5 linked regions of the Cricetulus griseus genome follow. The protein of the gene in region 3 interacts with the protein of the main gene of each other region in a biochemical or structural test. Links are inferred from orthologs where the notes say so. Each region holds a gene or a part of one and is shown on either strand. Other genes may lie near its edges. The genes, in order: Cs, Snca, Cryab, Cryba1 and Ccnd1.

Region 1 (2,911 bases), on a different chromosome or scaffold from region 3:
GCCATTCACAGAGATCGCCTGTCTCTGCCTGCCAGGTGCTGGGATTACAGGCGTGCCCACTACTGCCTGGTGTGTATATGTTTTCAGTAGCCAGTTTGTGTGCTCTTTCTTCTTGGGGTATATTTTTCAAGGTTTTTGTTTGTTTGTTTTTTGTTTTTTTTACATGTGTGGGTGTTTTGTCTGCAAGTATGTCTGTGCACCACATGTGTGCAGTGTATGTGGAGGTCAGAGAGGGCATCTGACCCTCTGAAACTGGAGTTAGATCGTCATTAGCTACCATGTTGAGTGCTGGGAATTGAACCTGGGCCGTCTCCAAGAACAAGTGCTCTTAACTACAGACCATCTCTCCAGCCCCATGTTTTAGGTGAATTTTTAGGCAATTGCCAGATATCAAACCTAGGCCCCCCTACATGCTGGGCAAGTTTTCTATTAAAGTATATGGTATCGAAACCTTATGATATATATAGCATAATATGTATCTAAAACCTTGAAGCTTTTGCTATTCAATAATTGGTCAGCACTATTTGATTCTTAACATATGTAATAAATTTTCACTGGAACTAAAATGCAGAATTAAATTAAACATTAGAATAAAGAAATAAAGAATTAATTTAGAAATGGGCCAGTGAGATGGCTCAGCAGGTAAAGCTGAGCAATCCTAGAATTCTGACCTCAGTCCCCAGAGCCCACATAAAGGTGGCAGGAAGAAGGGACTTCACAGAGTCACCCTCTGATCTCACTGTGTGCTGTGGCCTGTGTAGCCCCTGCTCCCTTACACACACAGTAGTAATAATAGTGATATCACATCTGTTTAGTGTCCTGAGAACGTCACAAAGCAGCAGATCAGGGTTCAGATCTCCCTTTAATACTTACCTGAGTCCTCTGTGAGTGGACAAGACAGGTCCAGTAGGGCACACACTGCAGACACTAGAAGCCTCGGCTGCAGTCATTTGCTCAGCATATGGTTATTGTCATTCTATACCTGAAATGCAGAACCGCCCAGCATACTGCTGTCAACCCAGATACTGTTGAAGGACAAACAAAACAGTATTGCAGCCTAATGCTTTGCATGTAATTCCCTTTTTTTCTCCGTCTTTTCTTTCATCAGTTGATTTATGAAGATTGTATGGACCTGATTGCAAAGCTCCCTTGTGTGGCAGCAAAAATCTACCGGAATCTTTACCGGGAAGGCAGCAGCATTGGTGCCATTGACTCTAAGCTGGACTGGTCCCACAATTTTACCAACATGTTAGGCTATACTGAACCACAGTTCACTGAGCTTATGCGTTTGTACCTCACCATCCACAGGTGAGCTACAGTTAGTAATTATATCCCTGCTCAGGTGCCTGGAATGATGAGAAACTCTTTCTTGGTTTGTTTGTGAAACAGGATCTTTCTACATAGCCTTGCCTGTGCTGGCCTCAAACTTGTAAAGATCCTCCTGCCTCTGCCTCCCAAATGCCAGGACTAAAGGTCCCAGCAAATGGGGGGGCGGGATGGATAGGGGTATATTATAAAAGCTCCTTTGCCGGGTGGTGGTGGTTAAAGCATTAGGCTGCAATACCTTAAATCCCAGCACTTGGGAGGCAGAGGCCAGCCTGGTCTACAGAGTGAGTGCCAGGACAAGCTCCTTAGTGTTATTATCTGGGAACAGACGGTCTGTAGCAGAGGGATAGAAGCATCTTGTAACATGAGAAGTAGGCAAGAAATGAGGAAGAAAAGCTGAAAGGCTGAGGCAAATCTCTCCTGATTGGAAAGGGGTAAGCTGCTCACCAGGAAGGTCAGCTTTCCAGGAGCGCCCTCTTGTGGTCATGGTCATTAAAATGGGCTCAGTAGCTGAAAATAGTTTGCCTACTGCGGCTTTGAGCTCTGCATTGAACCTAACAGTGGCAGTGGGGTGAAGAAGACTGGTGGGGGAGAGAGGGAGCAGGGCAGGTCCAACTGACCGCTGTGGGTGTCGGGAGCCCATGGGGCAAAAGGAAAGCCATGTCTGTCACCCATAACCAGCCCTTTTCTTTCCCTTTGGCTCTGCCTTCTGTCCCACAGTGACCACGAGGGTGGTAATGTGAGTGCCCACACCAGCCACTTGGTGGGCAGCGCCCTTTCAGACCCTTACCTGTCCTTTGCAGCAGCCATGAATGGGCTCGCAGGGCCTCTGCACGGGCTGGCAAATCAGGTAAGCCTAGCTTTTGTGGCTTCCTGTTGTGTGTTTTTTACTCACATGCTCTGCCCCTAATCTTGACATTCTTTCCTTGACATGTGTGCTGATGTCCCTCTTCCCCACCCTACATCTACCGTGTAGGAAGTGCTTGTCTGGCTGACACAGCTGCAGAAGGAGGTAGGCAAAGACGTGTCGGATGAGAAGTTGCGAGACTACATCTGGAATACACTCAACTCAGGACGGGTAAGCAACCAGGAGAAAGACTGAGACTCAGACACTGCAGTGTGAAGGAAAATTCCAGGCCGAGACCTTGTCTCAAGTGGGGAGAAAAAAAGAATAAAAACAGCCCCTGCATTAGCCAGAAGAGGCCGCCTTTCCTATTGTTTCCACATCTGTTTACCTGGTGGGTTTAGTTTTCTTTTCTGTGTTGCTCGGGCTTGTCCCCAGCATCTGCTGGCTAGACAGCTGCTCTGCCACTGGTCTATATTCCCAGCCCTTTATTTTGAGACAGGGTTTCACTGAAATGCCCAGGCAGGCTTTGGATTTACCATCCTATTTGAGCCACCAGGACCAAATTACCTTAAAATGAAGGGGGGTGATGTACCTGGATATGCTTCTCTGTAACTTTCCCCACTCCCTCCTGCCCTTTACAGGTTGTCCCAGGATATGGTCATGCAGTACTAAGGAAGACTGACCCACGATATTCCTGTCAGAGGGAGTTTGCTCTGAAGCATCTGCCTAACGACCCCT
Region 2 (4,172 bases), on a different chromosome or scaffold from region 3:
ACTGAGACAAATTGTAGCCCAGATTATTTCTAATCCTTCAGGCTAATTATTGATGATAGTTTTATATATTTGGTGAAAAATAAGAGGAAATCATGTTGAGTGGAATAGCTTATTTAATAAAAATCAAGTTTCCTAAATATGAAAGTGCACTTGGTTACACATTTCCACAAAAGCTCTGCAAAGGAATTGTACTTTTATGAACTACATTATTTGTGGAAAAGGGAAGGAAATTCAAAGACATTAACTTCCTCAAGATCCTAAAGGTAGAAGTGATGTAGCTTGTATTAAATTTATGTTTGTTTGATAAGTTATAGCCCAATTCCCTTTCACTTTTTTCTAGCCTATAAGTTAACCCCAGCTTCTTGTTTTGATAAATAAAAACTGAAACAGCACCACACTGGTTATTGCCCATGGTTGCTTTCACACTTTAACAGTAGACCTGATTATCTGAGACAGATTGGCCGAAATAAGTTTGAAAATTAACAAAAGTTGACCAAAATCTTAACTTAATTCTTACCTTTAGACCTCACTTTTCATAGTAAATTCTATGCATGTGTTTGGCTTTTTTTTGTTTGTTTGATTGGTTGGTTTTGTTGAGACAGGGTTTCTCTGTATTGCTTTGGAGCCTGTCCTTGAACTCTGTAGACCAGGCTGGCCTCAAACTCACAAAGATCCACCTGTCTCTGCCTCCCCAGTGCTGGAATTAAAGGCATGTGCCACCACCACCCACGTTCAGCTTTTAATTAGACTCCAGAACATAACCAGCAATTGATTAATTATATATGTATTAAATATAACAACATTGATAATTTTAGTAACATTAGACTTATTGAAACATTATGCTTTTTACATAATTGCCTCGCAGTGAACAACAAAATTAATCTTTGAAAAATCTAATCACTTTATTTGCCTAAACTCACAATTAACAATAAAACATGAAAGTGTTCTACTTGATAAGATCTGTTTATTAACTAGAAAGAATAATAAATTAATATTCAGTAACTTCTACATTTGCTTAAAATTAATGCTCTAGCTGGAAGGTGGTGACACATGCCTTTAATCCCAGTACCAGGAGGCAGAGGCAGGTGGATTTCAGTGAGTTCAAGGCCAGACTAGTCTAAATAGTGAGTTTCAGGACAGCCAGAACCATAAGAGAAACCCTGTCTCAAAAAAAAAAAAAAAATTAAAAAAGAAAATTAGGTGACTAGTTGTCTAAAAAGAAGAAAGATAACATTCACTAAGTAACTAATTAAAAAATGTAGTCATGGGTCTATAGTTGCAGGATGTGGGAGACTTTGAGGCCCTGAAAAATCTACAAATAACTGATTTTATATTCTGGATTCTATCAAAAACATTGACCTCACTGTTCCCAAAAGAAGCACTTGACTCACACCTTTCTCTTTTAATATTCATTTCAAGACTTTCTGAAAGGTTGTTTTGAGGTGGAAAGGGAGTCAACATAAAAACAATCTATGAGGAATGAGCAAAGGTGATATGCTAGAAACTTTGAAAGTTCATGAAAGGTTTTTTCCCACTAATCAGTTAGAGCTGGAGCGCCAGCACAGCTTCCCACTTTTGGTAAGTCTCAGTCTCAGTGTGTGGCCTCTCTGTCACCTCTGCCACTTGTCTGTTCCATTTCCATCTTAAGGTTGACCCTTTGCCTTCTACTGAGATAGAGGCCCCCTAAGAAGGTAGGGAAGCTCAGAGAAGCACAGAGGGGGCAGGTGAGTCATGCATCCTTGCTCCCTTGTGCACCTGGGTCTCTGCTGGAGATGAATGTGCATGCATACATATATGTCTTTTCCCTCCATCAAAGTACTGGAAGTGCAACCAGTTTAACACAGGGAAAGCCAGTAAACAGTGTTGACCTCTGTCTCAAGGTTTACACTTAGGCACAAAAGGCACCGAGTATCAACCTCTTGCTCTTTCCTGTGTGCATCATCCAGGTGATTACACAAACACATCTGAGGTTCCTTGAGCTTCATCTCAAAAGGGAGATCCACTAAGAACAACTTGCCTTTTTTTTTTTTTCTATTGGGGGACCAAAGTAGGTGTATTTTCACAGATATTAAATACAATCATACTACAGTTTTATTTTTAAAATTGCAATTAACAAGTATTATCTATGGTGATGATGAAAGAAGCCAAAGTCCCGTGAGGGCCTGGGACTCCTCTTGTTTTGTTTTGTTTTGTTTTGTTTTGTTTTGTGATGGGATTTCATGTAGACTGGACTGACCCTGAACTCACTATGTAGCTAAAGATGATCTTCAACTCCTGACCCTTGGGCCTCCATGTCCCAAATGTTGGGATTCCACATGCCACCATCCTGCTGCTGTAAATGGGTCTGATTCATAAGCATATTCTTAGTTATTTTTCATGGGTTGCCAGTTTTAAAAATCCCAATGTGCTCACACACACACACACACACACACACACACACACACACACACACACACACAGAAACATGGAAAACCCTAAGTAAGCAATAAAATTAAGTATTCTAAGGAAAGAAAACATTGTTCCCATTTGTTTCTGAGAGCTAACAAGCAGATTCACAATTCTCTCACCTCCACATACCTGTCACTCTCCTGAGAAGCAGCTATGTGCATGAATCAGACACCACATGCCAGCACTGAGTGATTAGCCACTCCAACTCATCAGTCACGGCACCACTACCTACCTACATAGAGGACTCCCTCTTTTGTCTTTCCTGCTGCTTCTGCCACACCCTGCTTGGTTTTTTCAGCAGCAGCCACAACTCCTTCCTTGGCCTTGGAAAGTCCTTTCATGAACACATCCATGGCGAAAGATGTCTTTTCCTCCACTCTAGAGAATACACAATACACTTTGAATTAAAAATTTGAGTAAAAGAAAACAAGATTAAAGCAGCTAGAATGGGAAGAATTTTTTTAAAAATCAAGGAAGAAATCACTGAAAAATCAGTAGAGACCCCCCCTCCCCAATCTCTGTGTAAATGAACACTCGTTTTTTTTGTTTGTTTGTTTGTTTGTTTGTTTGCTTGCTTGCTTGCTTGTTTTGAGGACTGGGCATGGTGTTGCTTGTCAGCTTTTTCACTCAAATCTAGGAAGAGTCAAGCCACTTAAAGATGGGATGGATCCAGATGGATCACCTGGCCATTCTTACAGCAGCTGGAAAATGGAGTTACATGGCAAGATGGGTGGACTCTACCCCATCAAGTTCCCAGGGCCTAAAGGCGACATTCTAAGTAAAAAGCTTGTCTAGAAAACCAATGGAAGGGGGTACTGAAGTCGGGGGCAAGGGTAAAAGGACTCAGAAAGGGGTTAGTAAGTGTTTAGTCTTAGGAGAGGGGAAGGAAGGGAACTGCTTACTTCAAGATGAAGGGAACAGCACGCCAACTGTCATCAGCCCAGCTGTTCAAATCTAACAAGACCTTCCACCCACTGCTAGCTCTCCAGTCTGTTATCTGCCCGGAGCAGGCGCTGTCCACACACTTGAGCCGGCTCACTTCAGCTCTACCCAACCTGGGGGCCCTGTCCTCAACTGGAATCTGCTTGAAAACCCTGCACCCCCGTGCTCATTAACCCCTTATCACCTGTTGCCAAGTGCCTTAGGCACTTTTATTAATCACTGGCCAAATGTAGCCTCCTTACACTCCAGATAAGAGATAGAACGTGCCCGGGGTGGGGGATGAAAGTTGGATGCTCAGGTTTCTCCCAACGCCCAGCGCTCAGCTTCCAGGACCCAGCACCCAACACGAAACACCCTGGCGTTTCCGCTCGAAAAAGCAGATGCCACGAACAGCCTGGTTTCCCCTCGGGCTTTGGGAGAATGGAAGAGCACGTCTCTAGCGCGAGGAAAGCCAAGTAATGTACTTTCAATGCACTGGCCGTGTCCCCACCGCTGAGGTAGCCTCAGCTGGAGATCTCCCAGGCATCGGGACTCCTCTTAGCCAGGGTTCTCCGGGATCCCCAGAGCTGCTGCTATCTACAGGTACTTACCGGCGCCCTTGGCTTCGCAGAATTCAGATTCCTCCTCTCTGCCCCTGATCTTATTTCAGTGGCAGTGGAAAGGAAGGCTCTGGGCGGAGGGGCAGGGGCAGCACCTGCTGGTCTCCTGCCGTCTGCTGCTAGGCGCTCTGGCTCCCCGGCTCCTCCACGTCGCCCCCGCAGCTGATTTGTCAGCGCCTCTCC
Region 3 (4,090 bases):
TCTGGGTGATGAAGGATAGCTTCAGATATACTTAGATTATTCCCAAGAGGTGGCTGAATACATGTGTGGTATTCTTAGTCTCAGTAGAAATAATTTCTCAGAGGAACTAAGTGTATTCTGACACTGTCTTTTAAGTCCCCAGTTAGTCTTATCACATGACTCTAGCAAAAGAGATTGAATGTTACTGGGCCTATTAAGCAACCTTGAGCCTGGAATAGATCAAACAAGGCTCCCACCAACCATACCAATTGCTTCACTTGTCCTGTTATTCAGTAACATGATTGTGTGATAGTATGGGGGTGGGGTGGGAAGAAGAAAATGTATTATATGAGAATTTATGTTAACTAAGGAATCATTCAAATTTAACATTAATATTTATATTATTTAGAGGTATAAAACCACAGTGCTATTTTGTTTTTCAGAGTTCAAATCTACTAAGGACTCTACTACTAAGGAGAACATGAGTCTGCAGAGAGAGCAGTTTATGGGAAGAGTAGACAATTCAAATACCACAGGAGCATATTACTGAATGGCTCTTAACAGAAGAATTGATTGCAAAGTTGTCTGACTGTTGCTTTTAGAAATATTCTATTACCAGCACAGGAAGAAATATCTTTTACTCCCCCTTCCCCTTGTTTTGGAAGAACTGTGCTGTTATGCAATATTTATGTAGAGTCATGGAAATGATAGCCAGGCCACTTCATTTTCACATGGGTCTTCAGATGAAGATTTAGAAATGAAAGACCAGCAGAAAGCAAAGACTAGGACTTGGCCCTGTGCCCGTCACCTTCTAATCAGAAGGTGGGTCCTGACACCAAAGAGCCGGGTTAAAACAGAGAAGGGGGAAGGGCATTGGAGGACCAAGGGACTTTTGCCACAACTGATGAATGGGTAGGATTTACACAGCTAAGGACCAGAGAAGGCCCTGGAGCAGAGAGTGAGAAGAGATGAATGGGAGTACTGGAGGCACTTAAAGAGGTGTGTTTCCTGACTCTTCTGTGTTTCACCTCTGGGTCTGTAGCTCTTTGTTAACGATTCCCTTACATGTGTTCAGTGAGAAGTGATGCGAAGATGAGGAGGCCAGCCATGCAGGCAGGATACAAGCTCTGCCCTTTGATGAAGGTTGTAACACCCCTCAGCCAAAGGAAAATTCCAGCACAGTTGGTCACACTGGCAGAACATTTCCGTTGGATTTTTTTTCTCTGTCTGTGTCAGGAACAAGGCTGGGGCACAGGGTGGGAGGAGGGCAGAACTGGGGTAGGTTCTAAGGCAGGTCACAACTCAGGGCTTCTTAATTAGAAACAGCGATCAAGGAGGGAGCCTGTCGTGCAGCTGGAGACAAAAAAAAAATCCTACATGGAAATTCATGAGAATGGTTGGTTGCCTCTAGGGGAAAGGTTGGGAAGGGGGTGGAAGCAGGGAATGGCACAAAAGACTCTTCCATCTTGCCTGTAACGTTAATATTTAAGAAGAATATCAGGTTAGGGTGTAGCTCAGTGGTCTAGCCCCTAGTCATATGCAAGGCCCTAGGTTCAGTCACCAGTGCTGGGGGTGGAGGGTTATATTTTCATATGTTATCTGACTAAAAACTGATTTTAAAAGCACAAGTTGCTGCCTTAAAGGGTAGAGGAGTAGGGCAGTGGTAGAACACTTTCATAGCATGCCCAACCCCCTCCCCCAAGAGATCTTAAATTTAAAAATTCGATGGAGAAGGGAGAGGTGCACAGAGGGAAAAGTGGGCAGGAAGCCATGACCAATAGCCTAAGCCTTCCTGGCTGCTGGGCTAAGGCAACCAAAAGGATGAGTGAGGAGGAGTGGGGGCAAATGGAATGGCAATGGTCTCAAACAAGAATCGACTGGATCACAAAAGAAGCAAAAGGAAGAAAGAGGTAACAGAATTCTGAGAGAAACTTGTGAGGAGAAAATGAGCCTGAGTCAAGCCTAGCTCACCTTTCCTGTTAGATTGAGGATCCCCCACAGCAGTTCTCACAGAGGGGAGCAAATATTGGCTCCTGAAACTGGGCCTGTGACCCAGGTTGCTCCTCTCAAACAACCTTGTCCTGGGTGGTGGAGGACATAACGGCGCAGGACTCAGGGAATTCACACGTGGAAAGGACCACCCGCAGTCTCCTGCCCTCTCAAACTTTCTACCAATGCCACACCACCACACCCCTCCCGTGACTCATCCGGTTAGCTCCTGAAATAGAAAGAGCTAGCTGCCTCCTGTTCAGGGCTTCCCTCAAGGATGTCCCTGGAGAGTCCCCAAGAGGCGTGGGGACCACCTTTCCTGCAAGGAGATGCCTTCTTAAGTCTGTGGTCCTCACTGTCCTCGGCACTCAGGAAGGTAATCGTTCAGCTTAGAGAGAGGCCCACCGCCCTTCTGATGCCCTCAGGTTCCTGCATCTATCTGCACCGCACCCACCACCTTGGCTCTGTACCCAGGCTCTTCAACTCTGACGTATGATGTGTTCTGGGCTCCCCCAGAGGATGCCCCCCGCCCCAGGATTCCCTTCCGGAGATTAGGCGGGAGGCGTGGGGTGACGGGGAGCTGGGGGTGGGAGGAGCAGGGCAGTTACCTCATTGAAGCCCTCCTGCAGGACGTCCAGTAAGTTCCCGCGGGTCAGGCAGGCTAGCATTGTTCCTGCCGTGGGGCTCCCCGGGTGGGGTCGAGCCGCCTCCTCCTCCTCCCTCTGCACACAAAGGCAATCGGCTCAGCTCCCTGGGATCTCTCCTGAGTCCCGCATGCCACTTACTGGAAACCTAGAGCCGAGCCAAACTAGCGGCTTGCACTGGGCATGCTCGCGCGCAGGCCGCAGCCGGAGGGGCCCTGGCGCCGTGTTGGTTCCTATAGAAACAGTCAGGCGCGCACGGCAGGCACCGAGAGGCAAGCGGCCAGCCCCGGGCAGCCCGTGAGTGCGGGGGAATCCGAGGGCGCGCGCACACGCTCCGGACTGGTGCGCGCGCACGCGCGCGCGCGGAGAGCACTCACACACGCGTACACACCTACACACCCATGCTGACACAAGTGGGCTTGCCAGCACGAGCATATGCTTACAATCACTACACTGCAGGTTTGGAGACGGGCATCCCCGCGCGTGCGCACGCACACGCAGGCGAACACACACACACACACACACACACACACACACACACACACACACACACATTCACTCTGCTCTCTTAAGGCTGCTAGCACCTCACCACACACACACACACACACACACACACACACACACACACACACACACACACACACACACACACACACACACACACATTCACTCTGCTCTCTTAAGGCTGCTAGCACCTCACCACAAGGTGGATGGGAAAAGGAGTGAGTCACAGGATTCCCCCACCCCATTCTTCAGCAACCTTTTTCCACATGTGAGGCAACCTAACAGAGGAAGTAGAAGGGCAAGAAAAAAAAAAAGAGGAGGAATCAGGAGAGAGCGGCTGGGGTGGTGGTGGTGGTTGTTGGGGATGTAAGTAATTGAACAGTGCTAAACAAATCATAACATCACAACAAAAACATCAAAGATGATTCAGGATGGCCATGGTTTTACCACATGTATCTCTTCTCTCTTTTCAAAATAATTGCTGTAAGGGGAAAGGTGGGCAAGGTGGCTCAGGGGATAAAGGCTCTTGCAGAAGCTTGGCACCTGAGATCAATCCAGGAACCATGTTAAAGGTGGAAAGGGAGAGCTCACTCTTCTCTGGTACATGCACCCATATACACATCATGCTGTCTCACACATTAATAATTAATTCTAAAAATAAAATAACTGCGTGGTGGTGTACACCTGTGATCCTTTACTGGGAGCTCGAAGCAGGGAATCGGAAGTCATCCTTGGCTGCATAGCCAGTTTCTGGTCAGCCTAAGCTATGTGTGATCCTTTCAATAACATATATATATATATATATATATATATATATATATATATATATATTTCAGGCCTGGCACTCTAGAAGCAGAGACAGGAAGGTCTCTATGAGTCCAAGGCCAGCCTGGTCTACATAGCAAGTTCCAGGCCAGCCACAGATATATAGTGAGATTTGGACTCAAAAAAAGAAAGGCAAACCTTATTTTAAG
Region 4 (4,093 bases), on a different chromosome or scaffold from region 3:
TGCTTGTAATCCCAGCCTGGAGGTGGAGGCCAGCCAAGAGAAAAAAGAGAAAATATCTTTGCAGCCTTGTAAAGACCTAGAGTCTAGAGCTGCACGTTGTAAGATACAAATAACTGGACCAGGTACGATTTGTCCACCTGCAGCTTGGAATGAATATATCTAACAGATGGACAGGCAGGGCGGTGGTGCATGCCTTTAATTCCAGCACTCAGGAGGCAGAGGCATCTCTGTGAGTTCGAGACCAGCCTGGTTTACAAAGTGAGTTCCAGGACAGCCTCCAAAGCCACAGAGAAACCCCATCTCAAAAAACCAAAAACAACAACAAAAAACAAAACCAGAACAGGTGGATAGTCACCCTGGAGGAGCTGTCATATGAAGTCGTGTTTCTGTTAGGTATATTGTGTGTGACACTGGTTTACTGCTGGTAGGGGATAATTGGCTGAATGGAATTCAAGAATATTGGAATTTGTCCTGCTGACCCAGGATCCTGCTGGCTACCCTCCTGATCTTTCATCTCTGACCACCAGGGGGCATAAGTCTGGCTTCAGAGCACAAGCATCCCCAGCCCATAGGGAAAGCACATTCCCAGGGGAAGAGGGATCAGAGGCACAGGAAAGACTTTGCTAGAAGAAAAGATGGGAGTTTTCAAAGTGTGGTCCACAGGATATGCAATTAAAAAGCAGTCCTGATTGTTATTTGAGGCCTAGAGAGTCAGACTCTGTGGGACAGAGCCTGGGAATTCTGTGAAGCAATGCCAGTAGCCATTCCCTCCTATTCCCAGAGTAGGACTGCCTGTATTCAGACTACTTGGGCTCAAAACTGGCTTTGGCCTTTTTTGTTTGTTTGTTTGTTTTTGTTTTGTTTTGTTTTTCAAGACAACCTCTGTATTGGAGGTTGTCCTGGAACTCGCTCTGTAGACCAGGTCAGCCTCGAACTCACAGAGATCCACCTGCCTCTGCCTCCCGAGTGACGGGATTAAAGGCGTGCGCCACCAATGCCAGGCCAGCTTTGGGCATGTTAACTATGTGATCTCCAGTAATTTAGTCAATCTACAACTCACTATTATCTTTCAGGCTGACACAAAAACATATGTAGCTCTTAGAATTTCTATGAGCAGGACTAGAGAGATGGCTCAGAGGTTAAGAGCACTGCCTGATCTTCCAGAGGACCCAAGTTCAAATCCCAGCACCCATATGGTGACTCACAACCATCTGTAATGAGAACTGATGCTTTCTTCTGGTGTTCAGTCATGAACGCACATAGAACACTGTATACATAGTAAATAAATCTAAAAAAAAAATTGCTAAGAACAGTAAAGGAATCAATTTGCATAGAGAGTAGTACTGGAAGCACCTATCTCTATAACACAGACACACACACACACACACACACACACACACACACACACTAAAACCCAGAGCTTCACACATGCTGAAAAAGTACTCTACCATAGCACCAAGTTACATCCATCAAAGTCCTATCTTAGCACTTACACCTTTTCTTTCTTTCTTTCTTTCTTTCTTTCTTTCTTTCCTTTTCCTTCTTGTTGCCTTATAGACAGGGTCTCACTGTGTATTCCTGGCTGTCCTTGAACTCACAGTGATGTATCTGCCTGTGAGGGCTGCTTTGAAGGAGTTGAGAAGCATTGGTGGTTGTGGGTGCATGCCGGAACAAGTGTCGGGTGTCTGGTCTTTATGATACCAGTAGATGACACCTGCGTCAAGAAGCAGACTGTTGGGTAAGAGAGTGTGAAGGCCTGTGATTGTGTCACTTTGCTTGGCGGTGGTGGCACACACCTTTAATCCCAGCAATCAGGATGCACAGGCAGGTGGATCTCTCTGAGTTCAAGACCAGCCTGATGTACAGATTGAGTTCTAGGACAGCAAAGGCTACACAGAGAAATCATGTCTCAAACAAAACAAAACAAAACAAAACAAACACCCCCACCCCAAAAGAGTACATGTACTGCTCTTGCAGAGAGCCCAGGTTTGGTTTAAGATCCCTCAACAGACTCCCAGCAACCACCTGCAATACTAGCTCTGGGGGACCCAACGCCTCTGATCCCTGAAGGTACCCACACTCACGTACACCCATCTACAGACACATAGATAATTTAAAATAAAATAATAATCTTTTGAAAAGGAGACGGCAGGAATGACTGGCGACGGCCTCGGGGCCCAAAGAGGGCATTTTGAAGCAGGGACCTTTGTGGGAAAATGGGGAGAAGAGAAACAGGGTGAGGTAAGAACTTAGGACGTGGCTCTCCTGCCAGGGTTCTCCAGTAATTAGCTTGCTTTTCCTGATAGGCTTTTTCTTTCAGTTTTGAAGTGAGGAGAAAGCAGGGGGAAAGGGTTAGTGTCCTGTACCCCGCACTTGGTGAGCCTCCAAATATTTAAATAATTTAACCTTAGTTAAAAATCATTGCACTACAGAGACAGCTCAGCAGTTAAGAGCACTGGCTACTCCTCCAGAGGACCAGGGTTGTATTTCCAGCACCATATAGCGGCTCACACAGTCTATAACTCCAGTTCTAGGGAAACTGACGCTTTCCACTTCCTTACGCAGCAGGCATGCAAGTGGTATACAGACATGCATGCCGGAAAAACACCCACATGCATATTTTTAAAATCCTTAAATTATAATCGTAGTTTCAATAATAACCACGTGAGGGGTAGAAGAGGAGAGGAAGGATGAGGGGCGTCCTTCTGTATGCTGTGAATATGTTTCTCTTACTGGTTGATGAATAAAGCTGTTTTGGCCAATGGACAGGCAGGATGTAGCCAGGCAAGACGTATAGGCGGGGATACCAGACTAGGAGAATTCTGAGAAGAGGAACAGAAAGCATGAGTTGTGAGAGTGATGACTTGTAGCTGCCACGGAAGAAACAGACCCGAGCATTACCAGTAATCTAACACCACATGGAGATACACAGATTAACAGAAATGGGCTAATAATTAAGAGAGAAATAGCCACTAAGAAGCCTGAGCCATCCACAAAACAGTTTATAATTAATATAAGCCTCTGTGTGTTTATTTGGGATTAAACAGCTGGGGGACCTGGCCGGACAGAAACTTTCATCTACAGAGGAAGGCCTGCAGTATCCTCATTTAAATCAAAATAGAAAACTGGGGAAGCCAGGAGGAGTGCCTTTTTGATGAGGATGTGGGTCTGACACCCTCCAGCCTAGATCCCTGCCCAGGAGACTCAGTCCCTTCACACTTTGGAAAAGGAGAGAGACTTATAGTTGTTTTGTTTGTTTGTTTGGTTTTGGTTTTTTGAGACAGGGTTTCTCTGTATAACTTTGGAGCCTATCCTGGCACTTGCTCAGTAGCCCAGGCTGGCCTTGAACTCACAGAGATCCGCCTGCTCTGCCTCTCGAGTGCTGGGATTAAAGGTGTGCGCCACCAACGTCCGGCTTGTTTGTTGTTTTACTCTAAGCTATTTTGGGGGACCCACCACCCAGCTCCCAAATAATCATATACAGAGGCTTATTCTTTTTTATGAATGCCCAGTCTTAGCTTGGCTTATTTCTAGCCAGCTTTTCTTAAATTATCCGTCTACCTTTTGCCTCTGGGCTTGTATCTTCCTCTGTTCTATATATCTTTCTTTACTTCTTACTGTGAGGCTTTCTAGGTAGCTGGGTGGCTGGCCCCTGTCGTCCGTCCTCCTCTCCCTTTCCTCTCTTGTTCCTCAATCTTCTCTTCCCAGATTTCTACTTCTATTAATTCTCTCTACCTGCCAGCCCCCCACCATCCTTTCTCCTGCTTTGCTATTGGCCGTTTAGCTCTTTATTAGACCAACCAGGTGTTTTAGACAGGCAAAGTAACACAGCTTCACAGAGTTAAACAAATGTAACATAAAAGAATGCAGCACAGGCCAAGCAGTGGTGGCACATGTCTTTGATCCCACCACTCAGGAGGCAGAGGCAGGCAGATCTCTGTGAGTTCAAGGCCAGCTTGGCCTACAGAGCGAGTTCCAGGACAGTTAGGAGAAACCCTGTCTCAAAAAACCAAAAGAAAAAAAAAAGAAAGAAAGAATGCAGCACATCTTTGCATCGTTAAACAAATATTCCACAGCATAAATGAATCTAACA
Region 5 (4,184 bases), on a different chromosome or scaffold from region 3:
TCTCTCCTTCCAACCCTCCCCCAGGACTCTACCAACCCAAGCCCACCCCCATAAATGGGGCCCCTTAAAGACACAGACAGGACAGAAGGTAGGTGGGGGCAGGCAGCCCAGGAACCAAGGCAAAAACCTTTTCAGAAAGCGTGCAGTGAAAAGCCTGGCACAGGGAGCTGGGCCATTCGATTAGGTCTCCAAGGCCCTTTATCGTGGCCCCCAATACCATCTATCCCCAACAAGCTATCTGCCCCTGGGCTCAGAACAGAGATGAAAGGACCCCCTTCTAGACATGCCTGAGACCATCATATGGTACAGAAGAGACAGTAAGGAAACAGGCATTAGCCAAGGAACCGCAAGGAGTCTGAGATCTCCTGGGGAAGAGTGGGGGTGGGGGCCCTACCTGTGGCACAGAGGGCCACAAAGGTCTGCGCATGCTTGCGGATGATCTGCTTGTTCTCATCCGCCTCTGGCATTTTGGAGAGGAAGTGTTCGATGAAATCGTGGGGAGTCATGGCGGCCAGGTTCCACTTAAGTTTGTTCACCAGAAGGAGTTCCATTTGCTGCAGAAAATGGGGAACAAAGTCAAAAGGAGGGCAGGCCGGTTGGAAGGAGGTTTAAAGAGTGGGATAGCCGGGCACCACTGATAGGTAAACAACAAAATGTAGAAAGACTGAGTGGGCAACAAGCACTAGACAAAAAGACCCTTCACCGCCAGCGCTGCGGCTCGAGCGCCGCAAGGGGGCGCAAGCCGTCCACATTTCAGAGTGGCTTCACCGCAGACATGGTGGGGAGTCCAGGAGAGGGGGGCCACAGAGGTGAAATGGGTTTGGGATTCTGTCCACTGCCACTTAGGTGTAGTGCAGTGTGGATGACTTCCGTGGGGTTGGAGATCTACCCGAGGCTGCCTGGGCCTCCTGTCACTTGCAGCTCCCACCACCCGGGGGGGGGGGTCATGCAGATAATGAGGGAACGCGGGTGGTGGGGTCCTTGGTTACCAGCAGCTCCTCGGGCCGGATAGAGTTGTCAGTGTAGATGCACAACTTCTCGGCGGTCAAAGGAATGGTCTCCTTCATCTTGGAGGCCACGAACATGCAGGTGGCCCCTAGCAGCTGCAGGCGGCTCTTTTTTAGGGGCTCCAGAGACAGGAAACGGTCCAGGTAGTTCATGGCCAGAGGGAAGACCTCCTCTTCGCACTTCTGCTCCTCGCAGACCTGCGGGGACCGGGACCGTGACCGTGACCGTCAACGGGGGGTTTTGGGGGGTGTCGCTCGATGTGACCCCGTATCTCTTTCCTAGATTACACAGAGCGAATACGTGGCGAGAGCACGGAGAGGGGTCGCGGTGGCAAACTCCCCGGGAGGCGCGGTGCTCAGTACCCACCCACCCTGAAACTGAAAGGGAAAGTCCCTGGGCAGCTGACGCGGGGAAGCTCAGCAGCGGTGACCACGGAGACCCCGACCCAGGTTGGAATTAGAAGGCCGCAGGCTAGGGAATCCCACCGCGGGGCTGGCAGGGCGCCGGGGGTTGGGCGCCGCTCGCGCGCACGCGAGACACAAAGGTGGCGTCCCAGGCCGCCGCGCCTCATTTCCCAGACGTCATCTTTTCAAAAAATATTTAAAAATATTTAAAAAATAACTAGACGCCTAAAAACGGCTCGAAAATAACCATCGGGCGACCCTTTATCCAACCCAAGGGTCAGGAGTTCGGTGTACGTTGGAGAGTGAGCCCCAGCAACTCAAACTCTGGGGGCCCCCCTTTTGCTGGGTGCGGGTGCCGTTTGCCTCTCTGCAAGGGCACCACGCCGCACTTCAGAAATTATTTAAAAATATTTTGGGGCTCTTGAAACTCCCGCTAAGCATCTGGAAATGTGCTCTGGTCCCCCGGCTTGACCTGGATAGAAACCCCCAAGTTCAGACCCGCGCGGACGACGGTCAATCTCTAGCGACTAGGGGGCCACGCGACCTTGCAGACTGGCGTGCTCACTGGGCCAGGCAGCCTGTGCGAGGGTGCTCAGGGGTCTGCTACTTGAACAAAGGGTTCCCCCCAAATATCGATCGCTATGTCCCGTTTGGTGATTCCTGGCTGCCGCGAGGCCCCTCGTGCCTGTCCAGCGCCCCCGCCGCCGCTCCCCGCCCTGCCCCCAATTATTAATAAACACTTTTGCTTTGCAATAAAGGAGCAAAGATGGCGCATAATACTGACACGAGCGGGCCTTGCATACGTGTCCACCGATATTAATTTAAAAATCAAATCTATGCCCCCTCCCCCCCGAGCTGGCGGAGGAGGCCACCGCCGAGGCGCAGCAGGAATGGGGCGCAAGCCGGGGGCTACAAAAGGCGCCCAGCCCGCACCCTCTGGGGTGTCCCTGCCATCGTCCTCCCTCGAAAGCCCTCCTCCCTGACTGCCCCCCACCAAGAAAAGGAATCCCCATTACCCCAACTCCTACACCTTCCTCGTTTAAAAATACCGGCAGTATCTATTTATTTTGAGAATCCGATTCCTAGCAACACTGCGGGAAAACTCCGTGTCTGAAGGGAAGAGAAGGGAGGAAGATGTGGGTGGGAGCAACAAGTTGCCAGGGGTCCCAAGCCAGAAGGCTGTAGCCCCTCACCTCCAGCATCCAGGTGGCCACGATTTTCCGCATGGACGGCACAATCTCCCTCTGCACGCACTTGAAGTAAGACACGGAGGGCGCGCAGGTCTCCTCGGTCTTGAGCATGGCTCGCAGCACTCGGTCGTTCAGGAGGTTGGTGTCAGGGTACGCGCGGCGGATGGTCTCCACTTCGCAGCACAGGAGCTGGTGTTCCATGGCGCGGCCGCCTGGGGAGGGCTGTGGTCCTGGTTGGGCTCCGGTGGCTGCTGCTGGCGCGCGCTGCCTCGCGCTCTACTGCCGGTCTCTGGAGCGCGCGGAGTCTGCTGCTCTCTGCTACTGCGCCGACAGCCCTCTGGAGGCTGCAGGACTTTGCAACTTCAACAAAACTCCCCTGTAGTCCGTGTGACGTTACTGTTGTTAAGCAGAGATCAAAGCTAGGCAGAGAAAGGGAGGAGGGAGGGACGGGGCGGGCGCAGGGGGAGGGGGCTCGGGAGCTGCAAACGGCTAGGGGACAAGCCCAAAGCGCCCCCCCTCCAGCTCGACCTTCGTAGATATGCAAATCGCTCGGACTGCTTCTCTCCAAGCTGGGAAAAAGCGGTGCGAGGGTGGTAGTGGTGGGGTGTCTTCTTTCCCCACTTTCCTCAGAAGTGGCTCCTCTGAGATCTGTGGAGGGGGCGGGGGAGGGGAGCTCTGGACAGGACAGCTAGGAGGGAGGCCAGGCCACACGCAAGCCAGAGAAGACTGAATGGATGGGGGATCTTGGGGACCCAAGGACACCCTATATTCAAGCCAGGAGAATGGGCACGTTTCCGAGGACGCCACGAGGGCACCCACGGGCGGACGGATTGCTTAGAAATCCCGGCGTCCCCATCTTCTTTCAATTTCATCAACACGTGTAAAATTCAGGAACTGTTCAACAAGCGAAGATGCTGGACGTACCCTAAGCTCCGGTGCAGGCTCCATCCTAGTGCACTGGGGGTCTTTGCAAAGGGCCAGAGATGTAGCCTAGCATGCACTCGCTCAAAAATAAAATCTCAAAAATCCCAGCAACAGTTCAAGATGGTGGCCATTATTTCTTTCATCCAATCCTCCTCGCGGGAGGAATCTTCGATTTGCCTTCCTACGGTGACCAGTTCATTCTGGCCAGGTTCCTCCAGTGCGGGCGATTTACCCAAGAAAAATAAACCTTTGAAGGAAAGGCTGAGACACGATGGGCTGTTTCCTAATTTATTTTTTAATTAAGAAAACTAAATCACTGCAAGTATTAGTCACCTTGCCAGGAACCAGACCACCGGAAATTTTCCGATAGGCTTTGTTGGGGGTGTGGCCGTTCCTCTACCTTTAGAACCTTAGTTGGGGCGGCATTCGTGAGTTCCTGGGGGGCTGGTCGGAATCAAGACAAATGTGTGCGCCTATGTGATGCGTAGAGAAAACTTACAGATGTTCGTGGTTACACGAGTGGATTCCCAATATTCTCTTAATACTTAGTCAAGTAAAAGTTTTTAGGATGAAAGGGTTCCACCACCTAAGTCTGTTAATCCCCTTTTCTTTAAAGTTTTCACAATCCTGACCCCAACTCAGGAGAACTAGTCACGTA

What was found.
Region 1: the proteins of Cryab (region 3) and Cs form a complex in vitro, tested with the Homo sapiens proteins (3 studies listed by BioGRID). The link is inferred for Cricetulus griseus from reciprocal best matches to the Homo sapiens genes CRYAB and CS.
Region 2: the proteins of Cryab (region 3) and Snca form a complex in vitro, tested with the Homo sapiens proteins (4 studies listed by BioGRID, with this or other methods). The link is inferred for Cricetulus griseus from reciprocal best matches to the Homo sapiens genes CRYAB and SNCA.
Region 4: the proteins of Cryab (region 3) and Cryba1 form a complex in vitro, tested with the Homo sapiens proteins (2 studies listed by BioGRID and IntAct, with this or other methods). The link is inferred for Cricetulus griseus from reciprocal best matches to the Homo sapiens genes CRYAB and CRYBA1.
Region 5: of the proteins of Cryab (region 3) and Ccnd1, one has a biochemical effect on the other in vitro, tested with the Homo sapiens proteins (2 studies listed by BioGRID, with this or other methods). The link is inferred for Cricetulus griseus from reciprocal best matches to the Homo sapiens genes CRYAB and CCND1.

The regions. Positions count from the first base shown.
Region 1 is NW_023276806.1:129,531,438-129,534,348, reverse strand, and holds part of Cs (citrate synthase, mitochondrial), read left to right. Parts: intron 1-1,108; coding exon 1,109-1,308; intron 1,309-2,046; coding exon 2,047-2,176; intron 2,177-2,302; coding exon 2,303-2,404; intron 2,405-2,814; coding exon 2,815-2,911. UniProt on the Homo sapiens protein: Key enzyme of the Krebs tricarboxylic acid cycle which catalyzes the synthesis of citrate from acetyl coenzyme A and oxaloacetate.
Region 2 is NC_048601.1:81,915,693-81,919,864, reverse strand, and holds the start of Snca (alpha-synuclein), read right to left. Parts: upstream 2,802-4,172; coding exon 2,681-2,801; intron 1-2,680. UniProt on the Homo sapiens protein: Neuronal protein that plays several roles in synaptic activity such as regulation of synaptic vesicle trafficking and subsequent neurotransmitter release.
Region 3 is NC_048597.1:162,499,343-162,503,432, forward strand, and holds the start of Cryab (alpha-crystallin B chain), read left to right. Parts: upstream 1-1,287; 5' UTR 1,288-1,375; intron 1,376-1,415; exon of another isoform or gene 1,416-1,889; intron 1,890-1,950; exon of another isoform or gene 1,951-2,087; intron 2,088-2,186; exon of another isoform or gene 2,187-2,458; intron 2,459-2,518; exon of another isoform or gene 2,519-2,576; coding exon of another isoform or gene 2,577-2,636; exon of another isoform or gene 2,637-2,713; intron 2,714-2,785; exon of another isoform or gene 2,786-2,909; intron 2,910-4,090. Other genes in the region: Dixdc1 (dixin), read right to left, coding at 2,577-2,581. UniProt on the Homo sapiens protein: May contribute to the transparency and refractive index of the lens. Has chaperone-like activity, preventing aggregation of various proteins under a wide range of stress conditions.
Region 4 is NC_048600.1:91,133,355-91,137,447, forward strand, and holds the start of Cryba1 (beta-crystallin A3), read right to left. Parts: upstream 2,803-4,093; 5' UTR 2,734-2,802; intron 1-2,733. UniProt on the Homo sapiens protein: Crystallins are the dominant structural components of the vertebrate eye lens.
Region 5 is NC_048596.1:56,400,297-56,404,480, reverse strand, and holds the start of Ccnd1 (G1/S-specific cyclin-D1), read right to left. Parts: upstream 2,804-4,184; coding exon 2,606-2,803; intron 1,206-2,605; coding exon 990-1,205; intron 555-989; coding exon 395-554; intron 1-394. UniProt on the Homo sapiens protein: Regulatory component of the cyclin D1-CDK4 (DC) complex that phosphorylates and inhibits members of the retinoblastoma (RB) protein family including RB1 and regulates the cell-cycle during G(1)/S transition.